4 linked regions of the Struthio camelus genome follow. The protein of the gene in region 2 interacts with the protein of the main gene of each other region in a biochemical or structural test. Links are inferred from orthologs where the notes say so. Each region holds a gene or a part of one and is shown on either strand. Other genes may lie near its edges. The genes, in order: claudin-4, TJP1, CLDN7 and KIRREL1.

What was found.
Region 1: the proteins of TJP1 (region 2) and claudin-4 form a complex in vitro, tested with the Homo sapiens proteins (2 studies listed by BioGRID and IntAct, with this or other methods). The link is inferred for Struthio camelus from reciprocal best matches to the Homo sapiens genes TJP1 and CLDN4.
Region 3: the proteins of TJP1 (region 2) and CLDN7 form a complex in vitro, tested with the Homo sapiens proteins (2 studies listed by BioGRID and IntAct, with this or other methods). The link is inferred for Struthio camelus from reciprocal best matches to the Homo sapiens genes TJP1 and CLDN7.
Region 4: the proteins of TJP1 (region 2) and KIRREL1 form a complex in vitro, tested with the Homo sapiens proteins (3 studies listed by BioGRID and IntAct, with this or other methods). The link is inferred for Struthio camelus from reciprocal best matches to the Homo sapiens genes TJP1 and KIRREL1.

What each region holds. Positions count from the first base shown.
Region 1 is NC_090957.1:9,877,820-9,885,146, forward strand, and holds claudin-4, read left to right. Parts: upstream 1-4,320; 5' UTR 4,321-5,048; coding exon 5,049-5,678; 3' UTR 5,679-7,313; downstream 7,314-7,327. UniProt on the Homo sapiens protein: Can associate with other claudins to regulate tight junction structural and functional strand dynamics.
Region 2 is NC_090953.1:18,421,104-18,428,003, forward strand, and holds the start of TJP1 (tight junction protein ZO-1), read left to right. Parts: upstream 1-3,887; 5' UTR 3,888-3,893; coding exon 3,894-4,060; intron 4,061-6,900. UniProt on the Homo sapiens protein: TJP1, TJP2, and TJP3 are closely related scaffolding proteins that link tight junction (TJ) transmembrane proteins such as claudins, junctional adhesion molecules, and occludin to the actin cytoskeleton.
Region 3 is NW_027182697.1:13,100-20,108, reverse strand, and holds the start of CLDN7 (claudin-7), read left to right. Parts: upstream 1-3,987; 5' UTR 3,988-4,191; intron 4,192-4,343; 5' UTR 4,344-4,408; coding exon 4,409-4,631; intron 4,632-7,009. UniProt on the Homo sapiens protein: Plays a major role in tight junction-specific obliteration of the intercellular space.
Region 4 is NC_090971.1:5,250,313-5,257,341, forward strand, and holds the start of KIRREL1 (kin of IRRE-like protein 1), read left to right. Parts: upstream 1-4,023; 5' UTR 4,024-4,089; coding exon 4,090-4,141; intron 4,142-7,029. UniProt on the Homo sapiens protein: Required for proper function of the glomerular filtration barrier. It is involved in the maintenance of a stable podocyte architecture with interdigitating foot processes connected by specialized cell-cell junctions, known as the slit diaphragm.

The sequences.
Region 1 (7,327 bases), on a different chromosome or scaffold from region 2:
CCACCCCTGTCATAGGCAGACACGTGCTTTAGGTCCTCTTGCACCGAGATCCCTGCCCAGCATAGGGATCCTTGCAGACGTCCTTTGCCCTTGCACAAGGTCGGTGGCAGTCCAGCATGCCTTTTGTGCAGCACCTCCATGGGCTCTGAGCAGCGCAGGAGCAGCACCTCCATGGGCTCCTTCTACCTGACACAGATCCCCCCACAGAGGGTCTTACAGCCCAGCTATGGGGCCATATGGGGCTGGAGCATTTCCCCTTCTCCTGGTGAAGTGGTTCTCATTTGCGGAGTGCAGTTGTGCATTTTCTGAGCTGCGGGGATGGGGTGAGGGGCTGGTGGCTGAGACAGGAGCCTTGCCCTCTCAGACCTGGTGTGATGCTTTGCGTCGGTGCGTGGTGGAGCAGGGACTGGAGCTCCGCAAACTTTCTGCAAACTTTTTCTTTCCTGCAGATGCCTTGAATTCAGAGCAGTACACTCACCTCCCAGGTGGATGCTGGTGGAGGTGCAAAGCAGCGAAGGCCCAGGATGGGGTGAGCATCCCATTTTGGTGGGGAGGAGCTGCCAGTTGAACAGACAGTCCATTGCCCCATGCTAGCTGCTGGGGCAGGTTGGAAAGGTCCCACTAGGGTGAGCTGTGTCCCTTCTTCAGGTCTGGAGAGAGGTGGGCGTCTTCTTTCAATCTCTTTGTAGTTCAGGGTCTGGAAAACTCTGGTTGCTTTGCATAATGTATCTTTATGCACGGGTATGGGCAAGACCCTTTGGGTGCTCTTGAAGAGCTGCCCTTGCTGGGGTGGTGCAGGTTGGTGCTCTGCATGGCAGTGGTGTGCTGTGGCATGGACTGGGGCCTGTGCTGAGCCAGCAGCTCACCAGCAGAGCCGGGGTGAGCCAGAGGGGAGGAGAGCACTCCAGGTGCTGTGGTCCCTGGGTAAGTGCTGGGATCAGGGCTGCACATGTACTCCTGGACGGAGCGCTGCTCGAAGCCAGATCTTAGTTAGATGCACCTTGGCATCCCTGTTGTGGGCAGCTGGGACCGGGCTGTGTTGCTGTGGTGTGGCGTCCACGCAGTGATTGCCTCATAGAGCGTGTGCTAAGCTATTCAGAGGTGCCTAGGTCTCGCTTGTGCTTCACTAACATCCTCTGGCCAGGGCTTGATGTTCATCAAGGATGGGATGCTGCTGCGAGAGTCAGCTGCTGCTCTTCTGCTCCCTGTCCAGCCGCTCGGCTTGCATCTGCACATCCTAATGGCTGTGCTTGCTCCAAGCACCTCCGTAGCGGTGCCGGGGGCTGGCCCACAGCACTGATCCAGCTGCAGGAAAACCCAGACTGAGTCTGTTCCCTGGTGCAGGTTTCTGGCTAGCTGAACAGCACTTGTGTTTGCTCGGTGAATGAGCTGCTGGGGAATGTGGGGAAGGGCATGAGGGGTGTTTCTTGGTGGCAGACACCAATTTAAACATGTCACGTTCTGGCCTTAATTACAGGAATCAGTTGTCAGTGAGCCTTTCTGGCGCCTGCTTTGGCTCTCCAGGCTCCATGGGTGAGCGTGAACTGCCCGGCTCAGGCGTTTGAAGTTCTGCATGTGGAGGAGTCCCTCTCCCCACCTTGCCATCTATCCCCAGCCCGGAGGCATGTCTCCATGTGCCTAGGGAGTTGCAGCCCACAGGAGGCAGCCAGAGTTTTCGTATGTAGATGTGTGCACGCGTGTGTGCATTCCTGTCTCCAACCCCAAATAACTCAGTGGTTAGAGCAGCAGTCTGGGAGGCAAGAGCAACATTCAGCCTCAGGCAGAGTTAAGTCCCGATGTCGCGTCCCTTGAAAAGTGCCCCAGCCAGAGGATGCTCTGGAGTGGGGCGGATCAGTCCTTGCTGCTCCCCTGCAGATTAAAGGGAACCTGACCACTGGGCTCCACTCTCTTTGGCTCAAGGGACAAGCTGGTGTTCCAACAATGTGGGTGCTCCAGCAGTGGAGATGGACTGAGGAGCATCTCAGGGTAAACAGAGTCTGGGTGGGGACCAAATCTGTCCTCCACGCAGGCAGCACAGGGATCTGGGCTGGTCTTCTATGTCCTTCCCCGCTCAGCTCCCCCTGCTCTGAGCTGTGCATGCACGTGGCAGAGCTGGGAAGACACCGGCTTGTTCCTCGTGAGGGTTCCTGGGCCATGACCTGGAGCTAGACCCAGGTGCCCTCATCCCTGGGCACCCACGAGCTGCCTCTCCCTTGCACTCGTCTCCTGCCTGTTGGCTCCTGCCTCAGCCAGATGTGAAGAGCCTGAGCCCAGGTGCTGGCTGGGATCCTTGCAGCACCGACTCACTGCAGCCTGTGCTGGTGCACGGCTGCAGTAGCTGTACTGCCATCCTTGGTGAGTGCAGTACCGGTGTGATCAGCCTCATGGGCATGGACATGGCTCATTCTGCTGCCTAGGATGAGAGCCTCAAAGTTTGGCTGTTCCTACCCCATCATCCTTGGTACCCACGGACAGGGGCAGCTCTGCCCACAAACCTTTGTCAAGGTTGTTTCCTTCTACTGAAGGTCTTCTCTGCTTGCACATACATCACTTGGTGTGGATGGCCAGAGACATCCAAGGCACACTACAGTCAGAGTTGGCTCAAGAGATTGTTGTGCTGAACAATTAGCCCAAGTAATTATGTCCTGTCAGTAATCTTCCATCCCACTTCCTCAGCAGGAGTTCAGCCTGGTGAGTGACACTCCAGGGAGCAGCCCGGACCAGCCTTCCCCCACAGCCAAACTCGGCACCTGGGAGGGCTGGGCTCCCCACACCCCCAGTTCACAAACCCGACTCAGTTGTGGTGCTCACCTGCAACCCACAACTCAGTCTGGCCCCACAAAAGGTTTCCTAATAACTTATCTACCCGGCACTTGAGTGTTCAGAAAAACTAAAACAGTCTCAGGCCATGTTATCTATCCCAAAGTCTCACAATTAAGCTGGAGTGGTAACTGTGCATGTCTGTCTGTCTGTCCATCCTTGAGGTCTGTCTGGCCTCATCCTGCGCCAGCGGTGGAGACACTTCAGAGGCCACCCTAGGGAGCAGGAGATGCAAAGAGGAGGTGTGTGGGCTCATAGATTAAAGAAGGAGAGGTCTGGCAGAGCCTCAAAGCTCCCAAACAGCATCTGCAGAGCTTAGGCCAGTGGGTATGGCCAGCTGTGCCATGCGTGCCGAAATGCCGAACGACACTGTCAGCACCATGTGGCCACAGCATCCCTGCTGCCCTGAGGGCACTGAGCACCTGGCTCCTGCTCATGCTAGCAAGCTCAGGGCGCTTCACAGCACCACGATGCCTCGATGCTGGTGCTGAAAGATTCCTGCGATGCTGGTGGTGTCACCTACACCTTGTGTAGAGACGTTTGCTGGCTCTCTCTTCTAGGCCAGGTATTGGGTGTGCTGAACCCTTTCCCTGTTTTGTGAACCAGATCTCTTGGGTCAGGACCAGGAGATAAGGGAAGACCACAGTAGTTGCCTCATTTTGCGCCTGTTACCTTTTGGGAAGCAGAAACTCTGGTGCACACGAACGGTTCACCTGGGAACACGCTGCGTGTGTGCCTTGGGAGCCTGCATGTCCTGAGCAGCAACAGGAAAACCAGGAAGCAAAATGCTTGGCTGCAAGGCGGCTGTGCAAGTGGTTGGGAAGCAGCTGCTTAACATCCCGGCTGCTTGCTTTCCCTATGCATGTTTCTGTTGTTTCCCAGGCCTGAACCGCCCTAAGCCAGATTACGTTGCCCTTGCTCTGCTCCCACCGCTGGGAGTGACTCTGCTGCTCGCCTTGGGGTCCCCGTAGGGTTCCCCACTTGTCTTCCACCTGCCTGCCTGCCCCACACTCCTCACGCTCCTGCAAAGTGAGGCCAAGCCATATGCTGGGCCTGTGTTGCAATAAGTCCTTCCCTGGGCAGCTCTTTCCTCCCGCAAGCTATGAGCGGAGCTGATGGACTCTTCCTGCCCAGCTTCAGTTTTGGGTTGTTGCCCTTTGCAGCCCACGTGGCTCAAGGCCAGACCCCCGTGCCTGCCCCGTGCAGCCCCGATGAGCCCCCCCATCACTGCACCCCATCCCCAGCTGGCTGGCTGGGAGTGTGGGGAACAGGGTGGTGGGACGCCCGCAGCTGGCTATGTTGGGAAAGAGGGCTGTCATGTGAACTCAGGCTTCACAGAGAAGCGAAAGGTGGGGTGGTTTGTGGGGTCTGCCGCCTCCCCTCGCCCCAGGCAGCGCCATCTCTCCTCCCCAGCAAGCCTGCAGCAGCTCCAACCGGTTTGTGGGTCTCCGTGGCGGGTGGCGACACCTCCTGCCTGAGGCCTAATTGAGGGATGAGAAGCGATTGTCAGACGCCAAGGAACAAACAAGAGCCGCTTGTGCCCTGGGAGGGAATGGAGCCGAGCAGGATGGGCTGAGAGCTTCTGTGGCACGCCGGTGGGGAGAGACGTGCTGCTTCCCTCTGCATGGGAGGAGCTCAGTACCCCGGCGGGGACACATCGCCACTGGGTCGGTGGTGAGCAGCCGGCCTGCATAGGACTGCAGCAGGAACAGCCGCCCCATGAGCTGGGGGGAATCTGAGGCACAAAAGTCTGAGGTGACTCCATCCAGGTCTTGAAGCTGGAGGCACCTGGGAGGACAGCAGAAAATCCTGATCCCTGGACGCCTGCTCTTTCTCTTCAGCATCCCACGACCCCAGGGCTTTTCAAGCTGAGCCTCAGAGTCTGCTCCTGTCCCATCTGGGCACCTGCCTGCGTGCCAAACGGCAGGCAGAAGGAAGCATTCCTGCTGGGCTCTCCCCATGCCAGGCTAGCCTGATCCCAGTCCCCTGCATCCTTCTTTGGGAGCAGCAGGAATATTAAGTGTCATTGCTGTGGGCAGAAATATGAGTGGAGGAATCTCGGGAAACTGGTTTTACCCCTTCGTCCTGTGCCGACTGGATGGAGCAAGGGGACTGGAGCTCCTCCCTCGGCGAAGGCATATAATGCCTCCAATGGTCCCGGGAGCCAGCACTGCATTGCGGGAGCCAGGCACGCGTGTCGGTGCGGGCCGAGCGTCGGGCAGTGAGCAATGGCTTCCATGGGGCTGCAGGTGCTGGGCATTGCCCTCTCCGTCATCGGCTGGCTGGGCACCATCCTGTGCTGCGCGCTGCCCATGTGGCGGGTGACGGCCTTCATCGGCAACAACATCGTGGTGGCCCAGATCATCTGGGAAGGGCTGTGGATGAACTGCGTGGTGCAGAGCACGGGGCAGATGCAGTGCAGGGTGTACGACTCCATGCTGGCGCTGCCCCAGGACCTGCAGGCTGCTCGCGCCCTTGTGGTCATCGCCATCGTGCTGGCCGTGCTGGGCACCGTGCTTGCCATTGCTGGAGGGAAGTGCACCAACTGCGTGGAGGACGACACTGCCAAGGCCAAGGTCATGATCATCTCTGGTATCATCTTCATCATTGCCGGCATCATGATACTCATCCCCATCTCCTGGTCGGCCAACACCATCATCCGGGACTTCTACAACCCACTGGTCACAGAGTCCCAGAAGCGGGACCTAGGGTCCTCCCTGTATGTCGGCTGGGCGGCCTCTGCCCTGCTCCTCACTGGCGGGGGGATCCTCTGCTGCACCTGCCCCCGGCGGAGTGAGAAACCCTACTCTGCCAAGTACACGGCGTCTCGCTCAGTGCCAGCCAGCAACTACGTGTAGGAACTGCTCCGTGCACCGCAGGGCTGCTCCCCCCGCAGCCTGGTGGCTTGGCACATAACCCAGACGCCTCTCTCCTGTGCAGACCGCCACCGCGACCAGGCTCCTGCTGCCCTGCTTGAGCTGCAGCACCCGCTGAGCTCAGCTCACCGCTCTGCACCTGCCGTAGGGATGTACCCACTCGGGGCTCCCCACAGCTCCCATGCTGCAGGGCAGCTTGCGGACTGGCATTGCTCCCCGCAGCCAGGCCACCGGGGTGGCTGCCTGCCTGTCCCCAGGGAGCCAGGGCCAGCAACAGCTGTGGGGCTATGTGGTCCCCAGTGCTAAGCATCTAGCACTGCTTCTCGTTTTGCTGGAGCAGAGAAAAACCTTCAAGGTCCTGCGGCAAGCCCAGCCTGGCCTGCTGACCCTCCTTGCCGGTGGGTTCGAGGCTGCCCTGGGCCTGTGCATGCACTGCTTGTGCAGCATCCAGGGACGCAGCGCTCGCGGGACGGGGAGGAAAGGGTGCTGAGGCAGCACGGAGAGGCAGGCGTGCGAGGGAGAGCAGACAGACCTGCCTTTGTTCGCCTGGTGATTGAAGCTGGATCTTTAATCTCAGCCGAGACAGAGAACAGAGAAGTCCTGTCCTGGCTGCCCTCCCCCTGCAACCTGCTGGACGTGGGGCCCCCGCTTCCCGGGCTGGCAGCCCCCGTCTCTGCTGCCGGCACACGCTGCCCCGGGCACAGCTGGTGTCTCCAGGAGGGGAAACCCAGCTGCGTCCCTGTGAGAGCACCATCTTTGGAAACACCCCAGGGCTCTGACTGCTGGTATCGAGGTGCGCCGTGCTGTGTCACGGCTCTGAGTGCCCCCAGGTGCCTGTCCCCGTGGGTGGCACGGGGCTCCATCCCCATCGCCTCTCTGCGTCCCCTGGCTGGTTTGCCCAAGCCCTGCTGCAGAAGCCACTACGCTGGGTAAACCAACTTGCAACACCTCGAGCGTGTGTCCGTCGGAGCAGGTGGTGGGGCTGGCGGGGACCGGGCAGGGGCGCGAGCAGTGATGACAAACCTTTCCCGTGTGGCTCAGCCTCACATTGCCCCAGGGCACATGGTGGCTTGGGAAACCCTGGCATGGTCTGCAGGGGGGCTGGGAGCTCTCATCCCATTCTGCCCTGAGTTTTTACTTTGACCTACTTTTGGGGCTTCTATTTGTGTCGCTGTACATATTTATTATTCCTCTCGGCAGCTCTCCGGGGCGGGGGTATCATTATCCTGGGAGTGGGACCACAGCGGCTAAGCTGGGAGAACCGGTTGGGGTGGCAGGAGCAGAGCTGAGCAGGTGAGCAGGGGCTGCACACAGGTGTTTCTGTTGGTGGCCCTAGCGTGGAGGAGACCAGCTCCTGAGACCTGACCCTGCGGCATGGGGCACATAGAGCCCCATGGCCCGCCTCGCCGCCAGCAGAGTTGCTGATAGGCACCCCAGGCTGGATGCAACTTTCCAAGAAGCCAGCAGGTGTGCGGGGTGCCCAGGCCAGCCCTTTCCTGGCTACCGGGCATGAATCCAGGCAGGATAGGGTGACTCGTGTTGCCGTCTGTGCCTGCCAGCCGTGGTGCCATCTGCCCGCTGTGGCACAGACATCCCACATTAAATGGTAGCTGCTCAGACCCCACTGTGCT
Region 2 (6,900 bases):
TTAATTTACCTGAGCAAATAAAATTAAGAAATGAATAGGGCTCTGCTTGTTTTTGTACTGAAAAAACTCCTATGAATCAACTATATTAACCTGAAGTAATCTAATAGGAATTAAATTGTTTCTAAAACGCATGCTATGTCTGAAAAAAATGTAAGCTGCTTTCAGCTTTATGACCTGTAGTGAAGGAGAGTGTATCTTGCCAGACAGAACGAGTCTGTACAGAGAACAGTAAATATGCTCAGAGCATCTCCACTGCAGGGATAGCTACCGTATAAATTCTGGCCATAGCTCAGCTACGGGGCCGCACAAGCCTCGGAGGTAACAGTGGGATGTTTGGATACTTACCCTAATCGGGAAGCTGCTGATTGACTGCTGTTAAAAATAGGCAGTTCATCTGAAAGACAAGAAAAACAGGATCTTTTTACTCTTTCAGCTATATAGAAGATCTGTGCTTAAAACAGGATGCCCTGAAAGGAGGCATATAATGGAGCAGCACTAAGACAGAGCAGGTATGACAGAAACAGAAGAGGAATTAAAATTAGAGGATAACATGTCTTCATGAATATCTGGTTTTGTCTCTACAATATGCATCAAGGAGTATGATGATGATACATAAAACTGACAAAACCAATTAATAAGTTAGTCTCAGATTAACAGAGTATGATCAATGAAAATGATAAGAGTTAAATCTGAAATAACTAATTATTTTGCAAATGTAAATAGAATTAGGAATTCCAATTTAAGTAAGAATGGGAATCAAATTATAGGCTCTTGAAGAAGGCGAGTAAAGACTGGAATATGCAGCCAGACTCCAACATAGAGTCTTCGTGCAAATTTTTGCCTGTGCATTTCTTAACTCCTTTGTACACAGATGCTGAAAAGAAATGCATGTTTCAACTCTGATACTGTAAAAATTGAAAAAGCCATGTTTTGGGCTCAGAGTCCCTTCATCAGGTAAGGAACTCCAAAAGCTTACCCGCTTCTTCCTGTTATATTAGCTTTCAAAGAAACTTTGCTTCCCTTGTATCCTTAGACCGCCTTATCTACAAAATTTCTAACACTATAACTCTATGAAAGTCTTACCATACGACTGCATTTTTCTTTCAATAATTTCTATATCAAATATGAAACAAGATTAATATATGTTTTTCTAACTGCTAGGTATCACATTCAAACTGAAATGTGAAATTCAAACAGTTTCAGTTATAATGCAGCTAACATTCTGCTATTGATGCCAAGAATAAAATCCAGCCCACACTCATTCTCCCACTACTTATGTGGGCACCATATATTTCTTCAGTCAGCTAATGACTGTGGATACACAGAAGAAGAAAGCAACATGTCAGTTTTACAGTTCTTCTTTCTAGTCACATTTTAAGGCAAAACAAATCTCTAAAGGTTTTCAGATTCATTTGATGATCTGTCTACAGAAGATATAGACTGTCCATTCAATATACCTCAAGCTTTAGCTACATTTAACCTTCCTAATGATTTCAAGTTGACTGACCCTCATTGTTTTTAATGCTCAATCTCTCAAAAGACAACCTGCAAAGAGTATCTTGAGAGCTAAAAATGAGCAAGCTTGTGTTGGGACATTGAGTTGGCATTTGAATTTTTAAATCATCTGTGACACAGAATTTCAGGACATTTCTATATATCTCCAGTTTCTTGACTGAAAAAACAGAACCGTCCAAGTCATTAACCATAGTAATACAATTACTATGATATGTTTCTAATTAGAATCTTTTGTGCTTACGAGTAACATATTGATCTTCTCTGTCTCCTGCTTAACAGACAGGTCTTTGGAGAATGTAGTCTACTACAGTCTTAGGTACATATTACCTATAAAAAAGGAAGAAAAATAATGAAATTCTAATCTTTGAGCCTTAAAGTGACAATGCTGTTCACAGTATTTTTCCTAGTTAACAGTGCCAGCTTAATTCATCCACTCTGAGTATTGCAATTCATACAATTTACATGATAGCATCTTCATGAAAACTTGTCACTTCTGTAAGGATTTGTTTATACCTGCATTCTGCAAAACGCATACATGCTGAAACAGTACTGGGGCTGCCAAAATGCCCCAGCCGGTATCAAAAGAGCTTAAACATCCCCTAGTCTTTGATAACCTTGGGAGGAGGCAACAGAACTTTAGGCACTGAAACTTTTGACACTCAACTGCCATTTCTCACCAGAAGCATCAGAACAACTTCTATAGCACAACTCGAAAAAAGTTTTACCTGTTTTAGCAGGTTTACCATGTTATTTTAGATGTTTTGTATGTGGGTTAAGCATAATTTGAAACTTTCTGTTCGAGTACGAATTCACCATGCTGCCTTTACCCAAAGTATTTCCCACTACTATTGATCAATGTGTCAGCTAAGTGCTATCCTTCACTTCAGTGATGTTTGTACTGTAGCGGATTTCTTTGATCTTATTGTAGTATGGTTTAGAGTGAATCCTGAATGCACTTGTCAAAAACCATGACCACCTATGGCTCTTAATACTGGACTTTAGGAGAAAGGCGCGAAACAGATTAATGCTGTAACGATAATTCAGTGTCGCACCTACGGCCACTACACACTTATGTTTTCAGCTATTTTTGTCACAGTAGCCAGGAGGCAGGCACCCACCTAGAAAACATTTAATATTTTTAGTTTGATTTAATCACCATCTGATTTCCAAACACACGTTAGTTGTTTTTCTCATGTGAAAGAAGAGGGAATGATGTTTATGTCGTCTTGCCAGTAGACTCACTAGGCTTTGCACGTGCGACTTCACAACCCAGTCACTTAGGGGAGGTGCGGAGGAGGGTGCCGCAGTGGGGAGCTGCTCTCCAGCCACCTCACACCCGGAGTCTTTTCTGAAGGTGGCTTGGCTGGTGGCACGGCTCCCGCTGCAGCGCTGGCCTGCTGGCCCATCCTGGCTGCCTCCACACCTCACCTCCTGCTCAGACCCTTGCTCCCCTCACGCTCATCCTCACCTCACCTCGCCTTCAGATTGCCTCATCGTCACCTCGCCTCACCTTCGGGCTACCTCAGCCTCACCTCACCTTCTTCCTCACCTCGCCTTCCTCCTCTCCTCAGCTCGCCTCTGTTCTCGTCGTCTCATCTCACCTTCGTCCTCACCTCACTCTCACCTTCCCTTCATCTCCACACTCACCTCAACTTCCTCCTCCCCTCACCTTAACCTGGCCTTCACCCCACCTCGCCTCGCCTCGCCTCGCCTCGCCTCGCCTCCGCGCCCGCCCCGCCGCTCACCTCGCCTCGCGCCGGGGCTCAGCGGGGCCCTCGCCGCCCCCGGGGCCGCCCCCGGTGCGGGGGCGCTCGCCTCCGCAGCCCGGCACAGCTGACCCAGGGGCGGCCGCGCCAGCGGCGGGCGCGGCGTGAAGACTGCGATAAAGCGGGGCTATTCTAGGCGCTAATGGGATGAGCGGCGCGGCGGGCTGCGGCATGGCGCCGCTCTGATGGCGGGCGGGAGGGCCGGGCCGGGCCGCGCGGCCGCAGGTAACGGGCGCGGCGGGCCCGCTCGTGCGGGGGGAGGGGCGGGCCGGGCCGGGCTGCGGGAGGCGGCGCAGGTGAGGGGCGACGGGCCGGGGCCGGGGCGAGGAGCGGGAGCGGGAGGCGGCGCGGGGGGAGGGCTGGGCGCGGGAGCGAGGCGGGAGGAGGAGGAGAGCGTCAGGCGGAGCAGGGATGGAGGGAGCGCGGCGGGGGGCGGAGGAGGAGAGCGTCAGCTGGGGGCAGAGATAGAGGGAGTGCGGCAGGAGGAGGAGGAGAGGAGCGTGAGCTGGGGGGGCAGAGGCAGAGGGAGCGCGGCAGGAGGAGGAGGAGGAGGAGGGGAAGAAGCGCGACGCAGGGACGGCAGATGCCTGGAAATAAAAATTTGATGATTGCATGCAGCGGCTGGAGAGACTCTGTCGGTGGCGGCGGCGGGGACGAGGCAGGGACAGGGGGGGCGACGGCAAAATGAAGTATCAGAAATACCTGACTGTCTTGCAGATGGCCATAGGGGTGACCGCCTCCAACCGGGGCAGTCTGATGCCCTTAAAGAGGAAGCTGTGGTGAGTAGGCACGGCAGGGGCCGGCGGCACTGCGGGCCGGGGCGGCGGGCGGCGGCGGCGGCCGCGGGGCTTTTTCCTGACAGGAATAACGGCTGCGCGGGCAGCGGCGCGCTGGAAATCCGGCCCGGCGCCGCGGCAGAGCGGGCCTCGGGCGCCCGGCCGCATCTCCCCGGCGGAAAGTTGGTGGCGGATCCAGCGATGGGGCTGGGGCGGCGGCGGCGGGGGCGAGACGCTGCCCGGGCGCCCGCCATCGCGGGCTGCAGCGCGGCCGGCGGCGCGGCGCTCCCGCCCGCCCGGCCCTCCTGGCGGCTGCCAGGCCCCTCGAGGAAGGCGCGTTGTCAGGCGCTTGCCGGAGCGCGGCGGCGGCCCCGGTGTTCCCGCTGAGCGCGGTGCCTCCCCCGCGCTGCCCGGCGGCTGCCGCCCGGCAGGTGCGCTTGAGGCGGCGCGCCACGGACAACACGCTTTCGCCGCCTTCCCGCTGGTTTTGTGCTTGCTGGTGGGGGGCGCTGAACTGGCGCCCGGCGGTGGAGGGCCGGCTGTGGCAGCCCCCCCGGCAGCGGCGGGACGCGCGTCCGCGGCAGCGCTGACAGCGGGGGGGAAATGTGGGAACTGGCCGCGTCTTCTGGAGGGGGAAGCAGCGAGAGCGTTTCTACACGGGGTGGTGGTGGTGGTGGTGGTGGTGGTGGTGGTCCTGCGGTTCCCTGTCGCTGCCCTTGTGCGTCCGCGTAGGGAGCGGGGTGTCAGCGAAGGGGCGAGAGCCCTGCTGCTTAGACGGGGTCACTCACGAGTGGAAGGATGTCCGTGGCAGCGACGGCAGCACATGCGGATCTTCCATGCGCTGCCCGATTGGGGTTTTTTTTCATGTTATCAGCCGGCGTAGACAATGTCAAGGAAATACAATTGAAGAAACAATGTGGAACTAATAAGCTGCCTGATATTCATTCCAAACCTTGATGTATTACTTGCAGAAAATAAAACGACTGGACATATCCTATTCATATTAACTGTAACATACAAAATCAAATCTAGTCCTAAACAAAAATATGCTGTCATGCAGATAACTTCTATTACCTTTAATCGAATCAAAGGATTTTAGACTGTACTCAGTGCTTTGATTTTGATTATGTAAGTTACATAAAGTGCTACTACCCTACCTCTCTTATTCTCCTAAAGTGACATTCCTGTCAGTGCGCAGCAGTGTGCGTGTTGATATATTATTTCTTTTAATATTTGAATTGTGTAACACAGTGCTAGCTCTTGTGCCATATCGTATTTCCTCTGTCTTCTTGGAAATGTCGTCTTTGCTGACAAATTAAAGTGAAACTATCGATATTTGCGCACTTTAAAAAGTAAGTCTGGAAGGACCTGATACAACTCCCACTTGATGCCTTCAGTTGGAATGTAATCAGCTCTGTATTGCCTAGTTTCATGGTGAGATTCTGTGCTTTTTGAGGGATATCAAAACACTGTAATGGATCCCAAATAATACATGCTATAAGCACTGAATGTCTTAACATTTGTAGCTTGTCTTCGTGTTATTACAATGCTGTGCTGTATACAGATTTAAATGACTTAAGTGTTAGGGATAAATAAGATAAATTTTTTTTGCAGTAGAGATCTATATGAATTACTTAAGCATTTGAGAGTGTGTCTATGGGATATTTTTATTAATAGGTGACATGATATTATGTAGTCACATTTTCTTAGGGAACTTGGATAGCATTATCTGCATAGGTAGAATTTATGCTTGTGGATGAAATAGTATTTTTTTCTGATGCATTTAGAGAAATGCGTAAGGATAATTTGTCATGGCTTTTTTTTATTTGCTTTTAGTCTGTATGTATACTGTTCTTAATGCACACATTAAAGAAAAGCAAATAATAGGGAGGTGAGTATATTTTTATGACTAAAATCAAGGCAACATAGTGTATATTGCCAGCCCGGAAAGCAAAGATTTGTTCCAATGCCATATCACTGGGAACCTCCAAAATACATAAAGAAAATACATAAATCAAGTCAGCTTGCAATCAGAGGATGCTAAGACTTTATTTTTATTTATTTAAAAAAAAAAAAGAATGATGGCCATTCAGATTCGTAAGTTGCTTGATGTGTTAGTACATATTGTAAGTGGAAGCAAAACATATAATTTAATAAAAAAGGTTTAAAATACTTTTTGTTGGTGGAGATAATCCACCTGAATCCTACTGAATGAAAATGAAAAAGGTAGCAGCGATGGTCTATTTCTTTATAGAGCATCTGCCACTCTAATTTCCTCTGACTTGCCCTCCAAAATGTGAGTCCTGTTCTCTGATTTACCAAAGCACAGCTACAAATCAAAACAAAAAAGATGGACCCTGATTGGTATAAACTAGCTGGGAATAAAACGAACAGAAAATTGGACAAAAAAGGAAGGAAGCTGTGCCCTGGGCTTGCAGCTGGAAGTGCTGGAGCCAGAAACTTAACTGTGTTTAATGTGGAGTTTGATCATTTTATGAAGAGGTTTACCTGGTGTAGTAGAGTTCTGCGCTCGGTGATCAGGGAAGTTGCTGGAGTCCCGATTTGCTGATTCAGACCCTGTTCGGTGTCTATGTTGTAATCTAATATGTAGAAACCAGAAATGAGATGAGTAGGATGTTTTTAATCTTACTGCAGAGTTTAACAAGTCAGTAAGCTGTCTTCAGGGCACGAGTCGCCTTCCAGATCAGGGCAGAGACAACATGAGAAGCTTGCACTATTTCTGTCTATTTTGTACCTGTTTTCTGCACAGACAATTTTCTTTTCTGAGGTTGTCCAATAACGTTTCTTAGCAGCACTGCCTTTATTTTCTCTACAATAGAGTG
Region 3 (7,009 bases), on a different chromosome or scaffold from region 2:
CCCAGTCTGGTCCTTCCAGACCCCACCAGCTCCTCTGTAGCTCCACCCACTCTTCGAGGCCATGCCCATACCTGGCCACGCCCATGTGAACCAGGCCCCTCCCTCAGCTCAGGACACCACATGGGCCACACACCCCTTCTGCCAGGCCACGCCCTCATCTCCAGGCCACACCCATTCCCATGAAAGCCCTGCCCACTCCTGTCTGGCTCCACCCACTCCACCTGGGCCCCACCTGTTTTGTGCAATCCCCGCCCACTCCCACCAGACCACACCCACCCCTCACAGGCCCCACCTACTCCAGCCAGGCTCCTCCCCCCCACCTGACTGAGCCAATCCCAGCCACTTCAGGACTCCCCCTACCCTGGCCCGGGTATATTTGCATCTCATTAATATGCCTGGTACAGACCACGCCTTCTCATGGGGGGATTGGTCCTCCTGGCTATAGAGCCAGACAATGGTGGGCCTGAGAGGCTGGTGCCACTCTAGACACCCTGTTTGTCTATGGTTTGCTTGCGGCACCCTGGTGCTTCCAGCCCCCATGGAGTCCTCTAAACCATAGAGATAGGGCTAGAGCAGCCCTCAGAGCCACTCTGTACCTTCATGAGGCCTTGCTCATCTCTTCTCTCTTTGGTCACAGGGGCCAGCTAGAGCTGCCAGGGTTTGGAGTCCTCCAGACCATAGAGACCTGTCCCCAGGGTGACCTCCATAGAGCCACTCTGTGCCTGTGTGCAGCCGTTTTCTATGGTCATAGAGCACTTCTCCAGCACCAAGGGCTTGGAGTCTTCCAGACCACAGAGGTGGAGCTAGAGGGGCCCCTTCCCCGGAGCCGCTCTGCACTACCATGGAGCCCTGCTTGGCGGTCCCCCCTCCGTGAGCATAGAGACTGCCGAGCTGCAGCTAGAGCAACCCCTCCAGAGAGCCATTCTGCACCGCCATGGCGCCCTGCTCTATGGTCTTCTCCTTCCCGGATCCCCTGCGACCATAGAGCCCTGTGCCCAGAGCGGTGCCCCAGCGCATGCCCCGGGGCATTGTGGGACTTCAGCCAACGAGCCTGGTGCATCATGGGACACTGGCTGACTTCTGGACTGCTGCGGCTGCTGACTCCAGGGCATGATGGGAGCCGGGTCGGCCCAGGCCCGCCCTTTGCCTCCCACCAGGAGCATCATGGGAAGGAGGTCCTGGGCTCAGGGGCATGATGGGACATGGGGGCCTCCAGCCCCTCCCCCAAGGGAAAAAAAAAACGTCTGGCAGTCAAAAATTCCCCCCTTAAAGGGATTTTCCCCCTTTTAAAGGGGCAGAATTGGAGGGCGGGGGAGTGGGCACTGTTTTTTGTCCGGGGAAGCAAAACACTCTTAAAGGGGTGGGCGGGACCCATGGCCCAATGGGAGCATTTGTCTGCCGACAAAAAAAAAAAAAAGGCTCTTAAAGGGGTGAGGACAAGCCCGCAGGGCCAATAGTTGTCTTTAGACAGAAAAAAAAAAAAAAACAGTCTTAAAGGGATGGCAATGGAGGTGGTGGCTCAATATTTGTCTGCAGGCGAAAACAAAAAAGGAGACTTAAAGGGGCAGGGGCGAGGGCAGGAGCTTCTTAAAGGGACAGGCTCTCCCTGCAGCCCCGGGCAGCGCAGAGGGGCCCAAGGCTCTTAAAGGGGTGGGTGGCCATGTTGGATGACCCATGACCCCTCCACTGGGCATCAATGGCGCTTCTTAAAGGGACGGTTGACTGTTATTTTATAGGCTCGATGTTGATATCTAGCTCTATGTTTAAAGGGGCAGGTGTGTCCCCCCCCCCACGCCCGCCATTTTATCTCCCCAATAAGCTGTTCTTAAAGGGATGATTGCGTCAGTCATCTTGTAATGCCTCTCCAGAATATTTGTCTGTAGATGAAAAAAAATTGAAGCTTAAAGGGATGCCCCAGGGGGCTGGTTTGGGCCGCCCGACGGAATATTTGTACACAAAAAAAATGTGTTTCCTCTTAAAGGGCTGCTCCAAGGCAGCCATCTTGTTCGTCCACCTTGTAGGGGGGGAGTCGCTTAATGGGGGGGGGGGGTCCCACACGGGTGTTGCCATGTTGTGTCCCCCCATGGAGGGGGCAGCTCTGGGGTTCCCCCAACAACCCCTCCTCCCCCCCCCCACCGGTTACACCAAGGACCCAGGAGTCCGGGGTGGTGGAGGGGGGGACATCCCTCCCCATGGCACCGGCGGGGATGGAAGACTACAGCTCCCGGCATGCCCTGCGGACGGAAAATGGCCGCCCGGAAGCTCGGTGCCGGAGGACTACATCTCCCGGCATGCCCTGCGGACGGAAAATGGCCGCCCGGAAGCTCGGTGCCGGAGGACTACATCTCCCGGCATGCCCTGCGGACGGAAAATGGCCGCCCGGAAGCTCGGTGCCGGAGGACTACATCTCCCGGCATGCCCTGCGGACGGAAAATGGCCGCCCGGAAGCTCGGTGCCGGAGGACTACAGCTCCCGGCATGCCTCGGGAGGCGGCGCTCGGTCGGGTTTGACCCTGCGCTGTTGCCGTCCGTCCCGCCGCGCGTTGCGTTGCGAAGCGCCGTTGGAGGCGCCGGGCCGAACCGGGCCAGAGCCGAACCGAACCGAACCGAGCCGGGAAGAGCCGGGCCGGGCTGAACCGAGCCGGACCGAGCCGGACCGGGCCAGAGCCGGACCAAGCTGAGCCGGGCCGGGCTGAACCGAGCCGGGCGGGCCGAACCGAACTGGGCCAGAGCCCAACCGAACCGAGCCAGGGAGAGCCGGGCCGGGCTGAACCGAGCCGAACCGGGCAGAGCCGGGCCAGGCCAAACCGGGCCAGAGCTGAGCTGAGCCGGGCCAAACCGGGCCAGAGCTGAGCCGGGCCGGGCCGGGCCGGGCCAGGCCAGGCAGAGCTGGACCGGGCCGAGCCGAGCCGAACCGGGTCGGGCAGAGCCGACCGAGCATCTTCCCCAAGCAGAACCGGCCGCGGCGGCTGCCCAGAGGCCCCTGCGCAGGGGGCGGCTGCGGGACGGCGGCGCCGCGAATCCGCCCGAAAAACCCGCCCTGACAACGAGGAGGGGGGAGAATAAAGCGAAAAACAAACCAAAACGCCGTAAATAAAACACCGGAGCTGCCGGCCCGACCCAGTCCGGGGCCTCCTTCGGCCTCGCCTGCGCCCGGCCCCGGCCGGGGAGCGAAGGGGCACGTGCAGGGGGAACAGCTGGAGCCTGGGAGGGGACAGGGGACGGGGTACAGCTTGGTGGGGGGTACCGGGATGGGGTACGAGGTACAGCTCGGTGCCAGGACAGGTGCACAGCTCGGCCAGGGGTCCCGGGACGTGGTACAGGGTACGGCTTGTCCAGGGGTACCGGGACGTGGTAGGGGGTACAGCTCATCCAGGGGTCCTGGGACGTGGTACAGGGGTACAGCTCGGCCAGGGGTACTGAGATGTGGCACAGGATGAGGCTCCTCCAGGGGTACTGGGATGCGGTACAGGGTACAGCTCGGCCAGGGGTACTGAGATGTGGCACAGGATGAGGCTCCTCCAGGGGTACCGGGATGCGGTACAAGGTACAGCTCGTCCCAGGGGTACCGGGATGCGGTACAGGGTACAGCTCGTCCAGGGGTACTGGGACGCAGTACAGGGTACAGCTCGTCCAGGGGTACTGAGATGTGGCACAGGATGAGGCTCCTCCAGGGGTACTGGGATGCGGTACAGGGTACAGCTCGTCCAGGGGTACTGAGATGTGGCACAGGATGAGGCTCCTCCAGGGGTACCGGGATGCGGTACAGGGTACAGCTCGTCCCAGGGGTACCGGGACGCGGTACAGGGTACAGCTCGTCCAGGGGTACCGGGACACAGCACGGGGTACAGCTCATCCAGGGGGACCCAGGACGCGGTCCAGGCTGCAGCTGGGTGCCAGCAGCACCGCGGGGGTCCCGGGGCCGGGAGACCCCCCCCACTCCCGCACCTCCTTGGCCCCCCCGGCGCCGCCCCGCTGACGTCAGGCGCAGCCCGGCCCCTATATACAGGTGCGCGCACCTGCCCGGCCGCTCCTGCCGCGCTCGGCCGCCTCGCGCTCGCTCGGGGCCACCGCCGCCGCCGCCGCCGAGCCCCCTCCCCGCGGGCGTCTTCGCCCTCGTCCCCTCGGTGTCCCAGCGCCGTCGCCGCCGCGCTCGGCCGGCTCCGCTCGGCCAAGGTCTCCCGCGGGCCAGGTTTGTTGATTTTTTTCCCCCTCGTCCTCCCTCCTCCTCCTCTTGCAGCCTGGATGGGGCCTCCCTGTCCGTCCGTCCGGGCTCCCACCGCTCGCGTAGGGGCTGGGGAAGCCCCCGGCGGCGGCGTTTGCTCAGCCCTCTCGTCCCCGCAGGGCTCGCGGCCGCCCGCCTCGGCGCAGGGTCCCCCCGCGGCCGCCCCGGCCTCGCCGGCGGGGCCATGGCCAACGCCGGGCTGCAGCTGCTGGGCTTCGGGCTGGCGGTGACCGGCTGGCTGGCCCTGGTGGTGGCCACCGCGCTGCCCCAGTGGCAGATGTCGTCCTACGCCGGCGACAGCATCATCACGGCGGTGGCCATGTACAAGGGGCTCTGGATGTCGTGCGTCTCCCAGAGCACGGGGCAGATCCAGTGCAAGGTCTACGACTCGCTGCTCAGCCTCTCCGGTGAGCTGGGCGCAGGAGCCGGGCGGTTTGGGGCAAGAACCGGAGGGTTTGGGGCAGGAGTCGGGGGGTTTGGGGCAAGAACCGGAGGGTTTGGGGCAGGAGTCGGGGGGTTTGGGGCAAGAACCGGAGGGTTTGGGGCAGGAGCCAGGGGTTTCGGGGCAGGAACTGGAGGTTTTGAGGCAGGAACTGGAGGGTTTGGGGCAAGAACTAGAGGGTTTGGGGCAGGAGCTGGGGGGTTTGGGGCAAGAGTCAGGGGGTTTGGGGCAAGAACTGGAGGGTTTGGGGCAGGAGCTGGGGGGTTTGGGGCAGGAACCGGAGGTTTTGGGGCAGGAACCGGGGGGTTTGGGGCAGGAGCTGGGGGGTTTGGGGCAGGAACCAGAGGGTTTGGGGCAAGAACTGGAGGTTTTGGGGCAAGAACTGGAGGTTTGGGGGCAGGAACTGGAGGGTTTGGGGCAAGAACTAGAGGGTTTGGGCCAGGAGCTGGGGGGTTTGGGGCAAGAGTCAGGTGGTTTGGGGCAAGAACCGGAGGGTTTGGGGCAGGAACCGGAGGGTTTGGGGCAGGAGCTGGGGGGTTTTGGGGCAGGAACTGGAGGTTTGGGGGCAGGAACTGGAGGTTTGGGGGCAGGAACTGGAGGGTTTGGGGCAGGAACTGGAGGTTTGGGGGCAGGAACTGGAGGTTTGGGGCAAAAACCGGAGGGTTTGGGGCAGGAGTTGGGGGGTTTGGGGCAAGAACCGGAGGGTTTGGGGCAGGAGCTGGGGGGTTTGGGGCAAGAACCGGAGGGTTTGGGGCAGGAGCTGGGGGGTTTGGGGCAGAAACCAGAAGGTTTTGGGGAAGAACTGGAGGGTTTGGGGCAGGAACCAGGATTTAGTGCAGGAACCAGAGGGTTTGGCACAGGGAACTGGAGGTTTCGGGGCAGGAACTGGAGGGTTTGGGGCAGAAACCAGAGGATTTAGGGCAGGAACCAGAGTTTGGGGCAGGAACCAGAGGGTTTGGCACAGGGAACCGGGGGTTTCGGGGCAGGAACCGGGGGTTTCGGGGCAGGAACTGGAGGTTTCGGGGCAGGAACTGGAGGGTTTTGAGGAAGAACCGGAGGATTTCGGTCAGGAACCCGAGTTTGGGGCAGGAACCAGAGGGTTTGGCAGAGGGAACTGGGGGTTTCGGGGCAGGAACCGGGGGATTTAGGGCAGGAACCAGGGTTTGGGGCAGGAACCGGAGGTTTTGGCTTTGTCTGGGCTCTGCCAGCCCCGGGTGGGGCCGGGCAGACCTGAGCGACCGGCCGGGCCGGTTGGGGGGAGGGGGGACTTCCCCCGGACACCTGGGCCCTCTGGAAGGGCGCATGGGGAGGGGGGACTCTGGGTCGGTGGCAGGAGGCAGCCCGGACGCCTGGGCCCTCGCCGGCCCCGGCTGGTGGCTGGAGACCGACCCGCTATCGCCTTATCGGAGTTGGCAGCGGGAGCCAAACCACAGGGGTCACAAGGGCACCCGGACTCCTGGGCCCGCTGGGAGGGAAGCGGCGGCGCCGATCAGGGTTGCCTGGACGCCGGGGTCCCCGGGGGGGGAAGCAGGGCCCCCCCCTCCTCCCCCGGACGCCTGGGTCCCCACGGGGTGCCCGGACGCCTGGGTCCCCTCCCAGCCGGCGGGCAGCGGAGCGGAGTTGGAGGAAGGAGCCCAGGCGTCCGGGCCGCCGGAGGCAGCCGAAAATCCCCCTGAGCCGTTTCCTGGTGCCGGAAGGCGCACCTGGATCGGGTGTCCTCCCGTCCCGGCCGCCCCCGGGGGCCCAGGCGTCCGGGAGGGCCAGGCCCTGCCTTTGGTTTCGCTGAAACTCGGCGGCGTTGTCCGGGAGGGGGGAGCCCGTGAGTCAGCGGGGAGCAGCCGTTGGGGTGGGTCCCCGCCGTGGGGCTGGGGCCAAAGTCCCCCCCGCCCGGGGCGAGGCCGTGGGGCGCGTCCAGGAGCCGGGGTGGCGCCAGAGCCCTGGGTTGGGGGGGGGGCCCAGGCGTCCGGGGATGTCCCACGGCTCTGACACCCATCACGGGACCCAGGCGTCCGGGGGTGCCCCACAACCCCAACACCCATCAGGGGGCCCAGGCGTTCAGGGCTGCCCGAGGGCCCAGGCATCCCAGGGGACCCAGGCGTCCGGGGGTGCCCCATGGCCCAGGCATCCAGGGGGACCCAGGTGTCCGGGGGTGCCCCACAACCCTGACACCCATCGGGGACCCAGCTGTCTGGGGGTGCCCGAGGGCCCAGGCATCCCGGGGGACCCAGGCGTCCGGGGGTGCCCCATGGCCCAGGCGTCCGGGGGGACCTAGGCGTCCGGGGGGACCCAGGTGTCCGGGGGTGCCCCACAACCCCGACACCCATCGGGGGCCCAGGCGTCCGG
Region 4 (7,029 bases), on a different chromosome or scaffold from region 2:
TGCTGTGTAATAGAGGTCACTCCAGCAGGAGCGCGTGAAGGCGGGCACAGAGGCTTCCTCATAATTGCTTGGAAAAAAAAAAAAAATGAAGAGACCTAACGTGGGTCAGAAACGCCAGGGTGGAATTCTCTGGCCTGCCCGGTTATTTAAGGAAGGAAATTCACCTGCTTTTCCCTGTCGAGGTGCTTTTCATAAGCTCGCAAATTATTTTTCCGCTCCCCGCCATTCCACATGGAGGAGCAGAAAGCGCAACCCGTTCCCCTCACTCCATTGCAGCTGGGCTCCTCAGGGTGGCAAAGGGGTCTCCACTGGCGTGAGGACTCTGGGGCCCCAACGCCCCAGGCACCAGTGAGCCCATGGGCCCCAACCAGGGCCAGCTAACGAGCGGGTTCGTTAGCCATTCCGCTCCAGCGCACCTCTCGTAATGAGCAAAGGCGAGCGGCTGCCTCTAAATGGGTTCTGGAAGCTGCTCGGAGACATTAGGCTCTGTATAAATATCATTATGATTGTTATTATTATTGGCACAGATGGGCTTTCATGGACCGCCGCGCACCACGGGAGTTCCTGTTCTGCCGCCGGCGCTCGGCGAGTGGGAGAAAACAAATTGCTGATGCCAGCTCCGGCTCGGCGCGCAGAGAGCAGTGGGCTCCGGCGGGAGAGTGGATGCCGGGTGCTGCCCTGTGCCCCAGGAACCATTCGTGCCACAGCTGGATGGGCCCTGGCAGTGCCGGCGAGACACCACGGTGGTGGGCTCGGCCCGGAGGAACAGCACCTGAGCCCAGCCACCGGGGGGGTCACGTTGCCCCAGGGCTGGCTGCACCGCAGGGTTTACTCATGCCGCCCTCACGCCAGGGTTGATGGGCCCTTGGTTGGACGCTGCCTCTGCGAGGTACAGAGCAGGTCTTGCCCTGCCACCTGGCAGCAATTTCGGCCCTCGCTTCCTCCCTGATGTTCTGTGGCAGCTGTGAGCAGGTTTCCTGGAGCTGGGAGGGGGGGTTCCCGCATGACCTGGGTTGCTTTTTGCCCGTTTGCATGAGGTTGGGTTCTCCCCCCCTCATTCCCTGCTGCGCTCAGTATCCATCGCTGCTCTCGAAGGCTCGGCCACAGGGAATTTTCTTCGCCGCCCCTCCACCCCCCTGGCTGCTGCATTTGTGCTTCTTCTCTCCTCCCCATCAGCAAATTCCCCTTGGCTGCCGCTCCTCCCTGACCTCTTCCCTCCCTTCGGGCTTGACGCCTCCTGCACCTTTATCTCGCCTCCAGCGGCGGCGGCAATCTCCTCTCCTCCACACATTCCTCAGGGCGGCAGGGACTAGCACCACAGGGCCAGGGGTTATGACTTTTAATAAAATATCCTTTATTTCCAGCTCCTTTTATCACTGCCGTTGGTTCTGGCCGTCTCCGAAGCCGGCGGGGACGGGTGGCCCCGACGTCCCATGGCCCAGCTGGGCTCTACCTCCTGGCCCACCAGCAGCACCCGGAGGGCAAAAGGGTGCGGGAGGATGAGGAGGGTGAGCGGGACCAGTGGCAGAGGCAGGTTTGGGCTCTGCAGCGGCTACCTCGGCGGGTGCGAGCGGCAGAGCCAAGCCGATTTCAGCAGAGGGCAGCACAAAGCCACTGAAACCGGAGCACCGGAGCCTGGCTGCAGCCCGCGGGGGCCAGAGCCTCACAGCGGGGCCTCTGCCCTCGGCGCCCCCGAAACGCCCCGCTGCTGCTGGGGTGAAACCGTCCTGGGGAATGGCCCTGGTGCTGCTGATGCTCAGAGAGGAGCTGCAGCCAAAAAGCCCCTTGCAAAGGTCGAGAGGAAGAGGAGGCGGCGGCGAAGGCCCTCGCCTCCCCGCTGCAACGCCAGAGGAAGCGGCAAGGGCAGCTGGCGAGCTGCGGATCGCCGGCACCCGCGGCACTCTGAGGTGCTTGCTCGGTGCCGCGGCCAGCTCAGCAGAGAAACTGAGCTGGGGCCCAAGTCACTCGGCACAGCTTACCCAAGAAACCCGTGCTATGGCCAAGAGATTAGCCTTTCCGATAGCCCAAGCGGCAGCTCAGTGGCTTTAAGTCCTTCCCCGAATCACCCCAGGCTGGTCACTCCCGCGCTCCTACACCCTTGGCAAAGCTCGGAGTAGCCGCCAAAGTATGGGAGCTGCCTGCTGACTCAGGCAGGCAGCCGAGTGCTGGTTCCCATTTGCAATGTTTTCTCTAAAACCCTCAGGGCTAGAAATTCTATTAAAAAAAAAACCCAACAAAAAAAAAAAACCATGAAAGCTGAAGCTTCTGCCTCTACCAAGGGCTTAGCCCACTCCACTCCACTTGGAAAGCTTCCCTTCCCAGGAGCCTGTAGGCAAGAGGATTTTTCAAGCCACTAATATCCAGGGCCTTTAGTTAGAGCTTATAAACTTTTCAAAAGAGAAATAGAAAGAGGAAAAGATAAAAGTATATATGTGTTGCAGAAAGGAGAAACTGCCTGGAAGAGCGGCGGTGTGGCAAGCGGTCCTGGCTCCGCTCCATCCTGGGGCATCATCCAGCAGCTGGGGGCTCCAGGCCAGCTCTGCCCGGCTCTTCACCGCACTGGGATCCTCCGTTAGTGTCCCGCACTGACGACCTGTCCCTGTTCAGGCAGCTGGCACACAACCCCCAGCACGTCTGCAGGCACCCGAACACCCTCCCTACACCCAAATACCCACGGCCCCACACATGGGGCGGCCCAGCATACACCCGCACGCTCACGCACAAATGTGTAAATGCATACCATACCCCCCCCCGACACCCACAACGTGCACAGAGGCTAGTGTACACACAAAGCTATACACATCCCAACACACATGAAAACACACCCCTGCATGCAACCTCCCACGCAAGCACTTTGACATAAGCGCGCACACACACACACACACACACACTCCCCAGCATGCATGAGTATGGATGCACACAGACATGCGCTCACACACACATATGCAGCCCAGCATGCATGCACATGCATACACACACACACACACACACACACACACAAACACACACAGAGGCACAAAAACCCCCATCATGCGCCCCTGCCAACATGCACACATGCAAATTCCCCCATCATGCTGGCACACACCCACATACACCCAAACAGCACCATACACCCAAAAACCTGTGCACACAAACACACACACCAACAAGCACCTCAACATGCATGCACACACACTCGCATGCCAGCATGCACACACACACACGCACACACACATATATACACCAACCACATATATACACCAATATGCACACACATGCTAACACACATGGACACATCCCCCCACGCACACACACTGACACAGACCAACATGCATGCACACCAACACGTGTGCACACCCCCACCCTGCACCAAACACTAACATGCACACACCAACAGGCACGAACACACGCTAACATGCACACATACGTACACGCACAAATGGACACCAGCACGCACAAACACACGCTAACATGCACAAACACACACCAACATGTACACATGCACCCCTCAGTGTGCACAAACACTCACCAACATGCACAAACATGAACATGCAACCCTAGCCATGCACAAACACATATTAGCATGCCCTTATGCACGAACCAACATGCACTAACACACACGGAGATGCACATACGCACACACCAACGTGTGCACCCCTCGCCATGCACAAATACATATTAGCGTGCACTTATACATATGCACGAGCATGCACAAACACACACATGCACAGACCAACATGCATAAACACACATCGACACGCACATATGCACCCCTTTCACCACGCACAAACACTAACGCACACGCATCCACACCGCCCCCTCCTCCCCAACTTCGCGAGTTGCGCGGCCCGGCCGGCGCCGCCGCCCCCCGCCCCGCCCTGCCCGCCCCCCCGGCGGCCGCGCGCACTCGGCGGCGCGGCTGGGCGCGGAGCGAGCGGAGCCCGCGGCCCGGGCCCGTCCCCGTGGCGTCGCGTCGCCCGCCCCGCCCGGCCGGACCATGGTGTAGCGGCGGCGCCGGGGCGCGGGGCAGCGCGGCGGGGGCGAGCAGGGCGGCGCGGGGCAGCGGCCCCCCCCGGCGCCCCGTGCCCGCAGCCCGGCCACGACGGGAGCATGTGGATCCTCCTCCTCTGCCTCCTGACTCTCGCCAGCACCCGCGGCCAAGGTAGGAACCGGCCGCGGCACCGGCACCCGCCCGCCCGCCGGCGCCTCCCAACTTGGGGGCACGGGTCCGGCTCGGCCCGGCGCCGGCTCCGCTCCGGCCCCGTCCTGGGGGCGCCCGGGTTCGGTCGTGCGGGGGGAGCCCGAGCTCGGTTCTCGGCGACCCCCCCCGGGCTCGGTGCTCGACGGAGCGCTGTGCTGAGTCCTGTCGCGCCGCTTCGGGTCCTGGTTCCCTCCCCCCCCCCCCCCCGGTCTGGGTCGGTCCCGGCTCGAGGCTGCCGCAGCCCCGGGCAGGGGGAGCGGGGGGCCCGTCGGGGGGCGGGCAGGGGGCTGGAACGGGGCGAGGGGGCCCAGCAGCACCCTGCGCCGAGCAGCGGGGCGCCGGGGCCGGCGAGGACCCGGCCCGTCCGTCTGTCCGTCCGTCTGCAAAGGAAAAACTCCTGGGGGACGCCTGCGCCCCCGAGGGGGAGCCCCGCGTTGACCCCCCTCCCCCGCCGGGCCCTGGGCACTGAACCCTGTCGCGGGGGGAGCAGCCCAACCCGCCCCGCGCCCCCCTCTGTCCCCTCACAGGGCCGTGGTGAGGAGGGAGAAACTGAGGCACGGGGAGTTGCTCACTCGAGGGTGCGCGGAGCAGGAGGGGTGGATTGAGGACGACCCCGGAGCCGCCCCAGCTGGCAGCTCGGACGTGAGGTCCCCCGGGGTCTGCGCGGCAAGGGGAGCAGGGAAAGGCACCACACGTGCAATGAACTTGCAGTGTCTCCGGCCAGGTCGTCCGTTCCGTGCGGCAGGAAGGCAGCGGGGCCCGGGACTGGCAGCCCCCTGCCGTGGGTCTGCAGGTACCCAGGGGCGAGCTCCCGTGCCACAGCCAGGGCAAGGAGCGAGCAGGGGGCATCACCCTGTGCTGAGCCAGCCCCTCCGTAGCCTCCAGGTCCTTCCCTGCTGCAAAATCCAATCTAATTTTTAATTAAGGGGGCGGTGTTGCTAAGATGCCAGGGGGAAAAAAAAAAAGAGTCGAACTGGGGTTTAAAAGGAGCATGCAAAGCCTCTTAGAGGGCCGGGGCCAGGCGAGCAGATCCCAGGCTCCCCCGCGCCAAGCTCGGGGAGGCACCATGGGGCTTCGCTGCCCTCCTAGGAACAAAAGCGCTCGCTCTCCTGTACCGTGCCATGTGGAGCTCGTTGGTGAGGAGGGCAGAGCTCTGGCATTGCCTGCCTCCTCTCTCTTTTTTTATTTTTTTTCCCCTCATTTAATAACTCTTGGAGGAGAGGGGGGGAGAAAAATTTAAAAAAGCCGGTTGGCTGGGCCTGGGGTAAACAGGCTGCCTGGAGGGAGCTCTGCGCTCGCCCCAGAGCAGTGGATGCATTCCTGCGTGAGGGAGGAGGGATGACTTCCCCGGGCGAGCGGCCCCGTCACAGTGCCTGGCCGCGGCGCTCCCTGCCGAGGCTGCTAAGTTTCTCTGTCATCAGAGAGGAGCGATTGTGCTGCCTTTCTCTAAAGACAGGGGTGTCCAGGGTGGGAGGGGGGTTCTGCCATCTGCTGCTGGCAAAATATAGGGCTCCCCCCCCCCCCCCGCCAACCCACTTTGCAAAGGGGATGTGTAGAAATGAGCATGCTGCACTGCATGTGCATGCATGTGCACACATGTGCATGCGTGCGTGTGCATGCCGGCGTGTCGCGGTGGGGGAGGCGATCAGGGCCATTCATGCCGTTGCACACTGGCACACGCTCGCACAAAGATGTTGAATGGGTTTCATCACTCTTCATTTCTCACTAAATAATTTTCTGTATCTTATCTAAATGAAACCCATTATTCTTCCCCCCATTTCAATCACTCGCTGTGATTGCTCCTCAAATTGAAATATTTATTCATTTTCTGGGTGATTCTTTTTCTCTTCCTCTCTGTGTTTTTTTTTTTTTTTTCCCTCTCTTCCCTCTTCCCTCTCAAGGAAGAGCAGCAACACTGAAACAGCAGAGATTGCGGCCGATGGGAGCAGGATGCAGCAGCAGCCAGGCCCTGGGGGGACATGGGGTGGCAGGAAGAGGGGCTTTGGTGCTGGCGTTTCCCATGGAAAGGCAGTGCGTGCTGGCGGGCCACTCGCCCCGTCGGCTGTGTGAACGCTGCCTTTGGCGCCCTCTCCCCCCCCCCACTGCGCTGAGACCCTGCGTGCTCGCTGCATGCTCTGGGATGAGCCTGGGTGCTCCCTTTAAAGGCATCAGCCCGGTCACTTTTCTTGCCGTGTTTGCGAGGGGTCGGGGGGCGCTGTGCATTCGTCACCCGTCATGCCCAAGCGGGGCATAGCCAGCACCAGGATTCCTGGGTCCTCTGCCCAGCTCTGTGGTAGCAGGAGCCAGGATTGGGCCGGTCCCTCTGTCCAGTGCTGGTGGCTTTTCCAGGTGCCTTCCTCCACCAGCATGGGCGGACGGACGGGTGCAGGGCATGAGCCACGTGCGTAGCGAGCATGAGCAGATCCTGAGCCCCCATGCAGGGAGGGTGGATGCACCCTGCTGTTCCCAGGTATTTCGGCAGAGACTACATGGGCCGCCTGCCTCGGTGGCCCTGCCACCAGAGCTGTGCTGGTACAATGGGATTTGCAAGATGACCGTTGCCTGCTGCAGGGCAATAAAAGCCCCTGCGAGACGTTGCTGTGCTGGAGCGTGGCAGAGGGGGAGGAAGGTGGTAGAGGAAGGCTCTGGCCCCAGGTTCCTGATGCTGAAGAGTTTTGTCACCCAGCCCCCTATCAATGGGACAAGGAGGGATGGAGAAGGCCGAGGGGCCGCGGGCAGGAGCCTTGTCAGTCAGCGCCAAGGGAGCCGGGGGGTTCCCGGGCCTCCTGCGCGGTTCCGCTGCCCCAAGCTGGCAGCAAGGAAGAGGAGGGATTGCAAGCACCACCAGA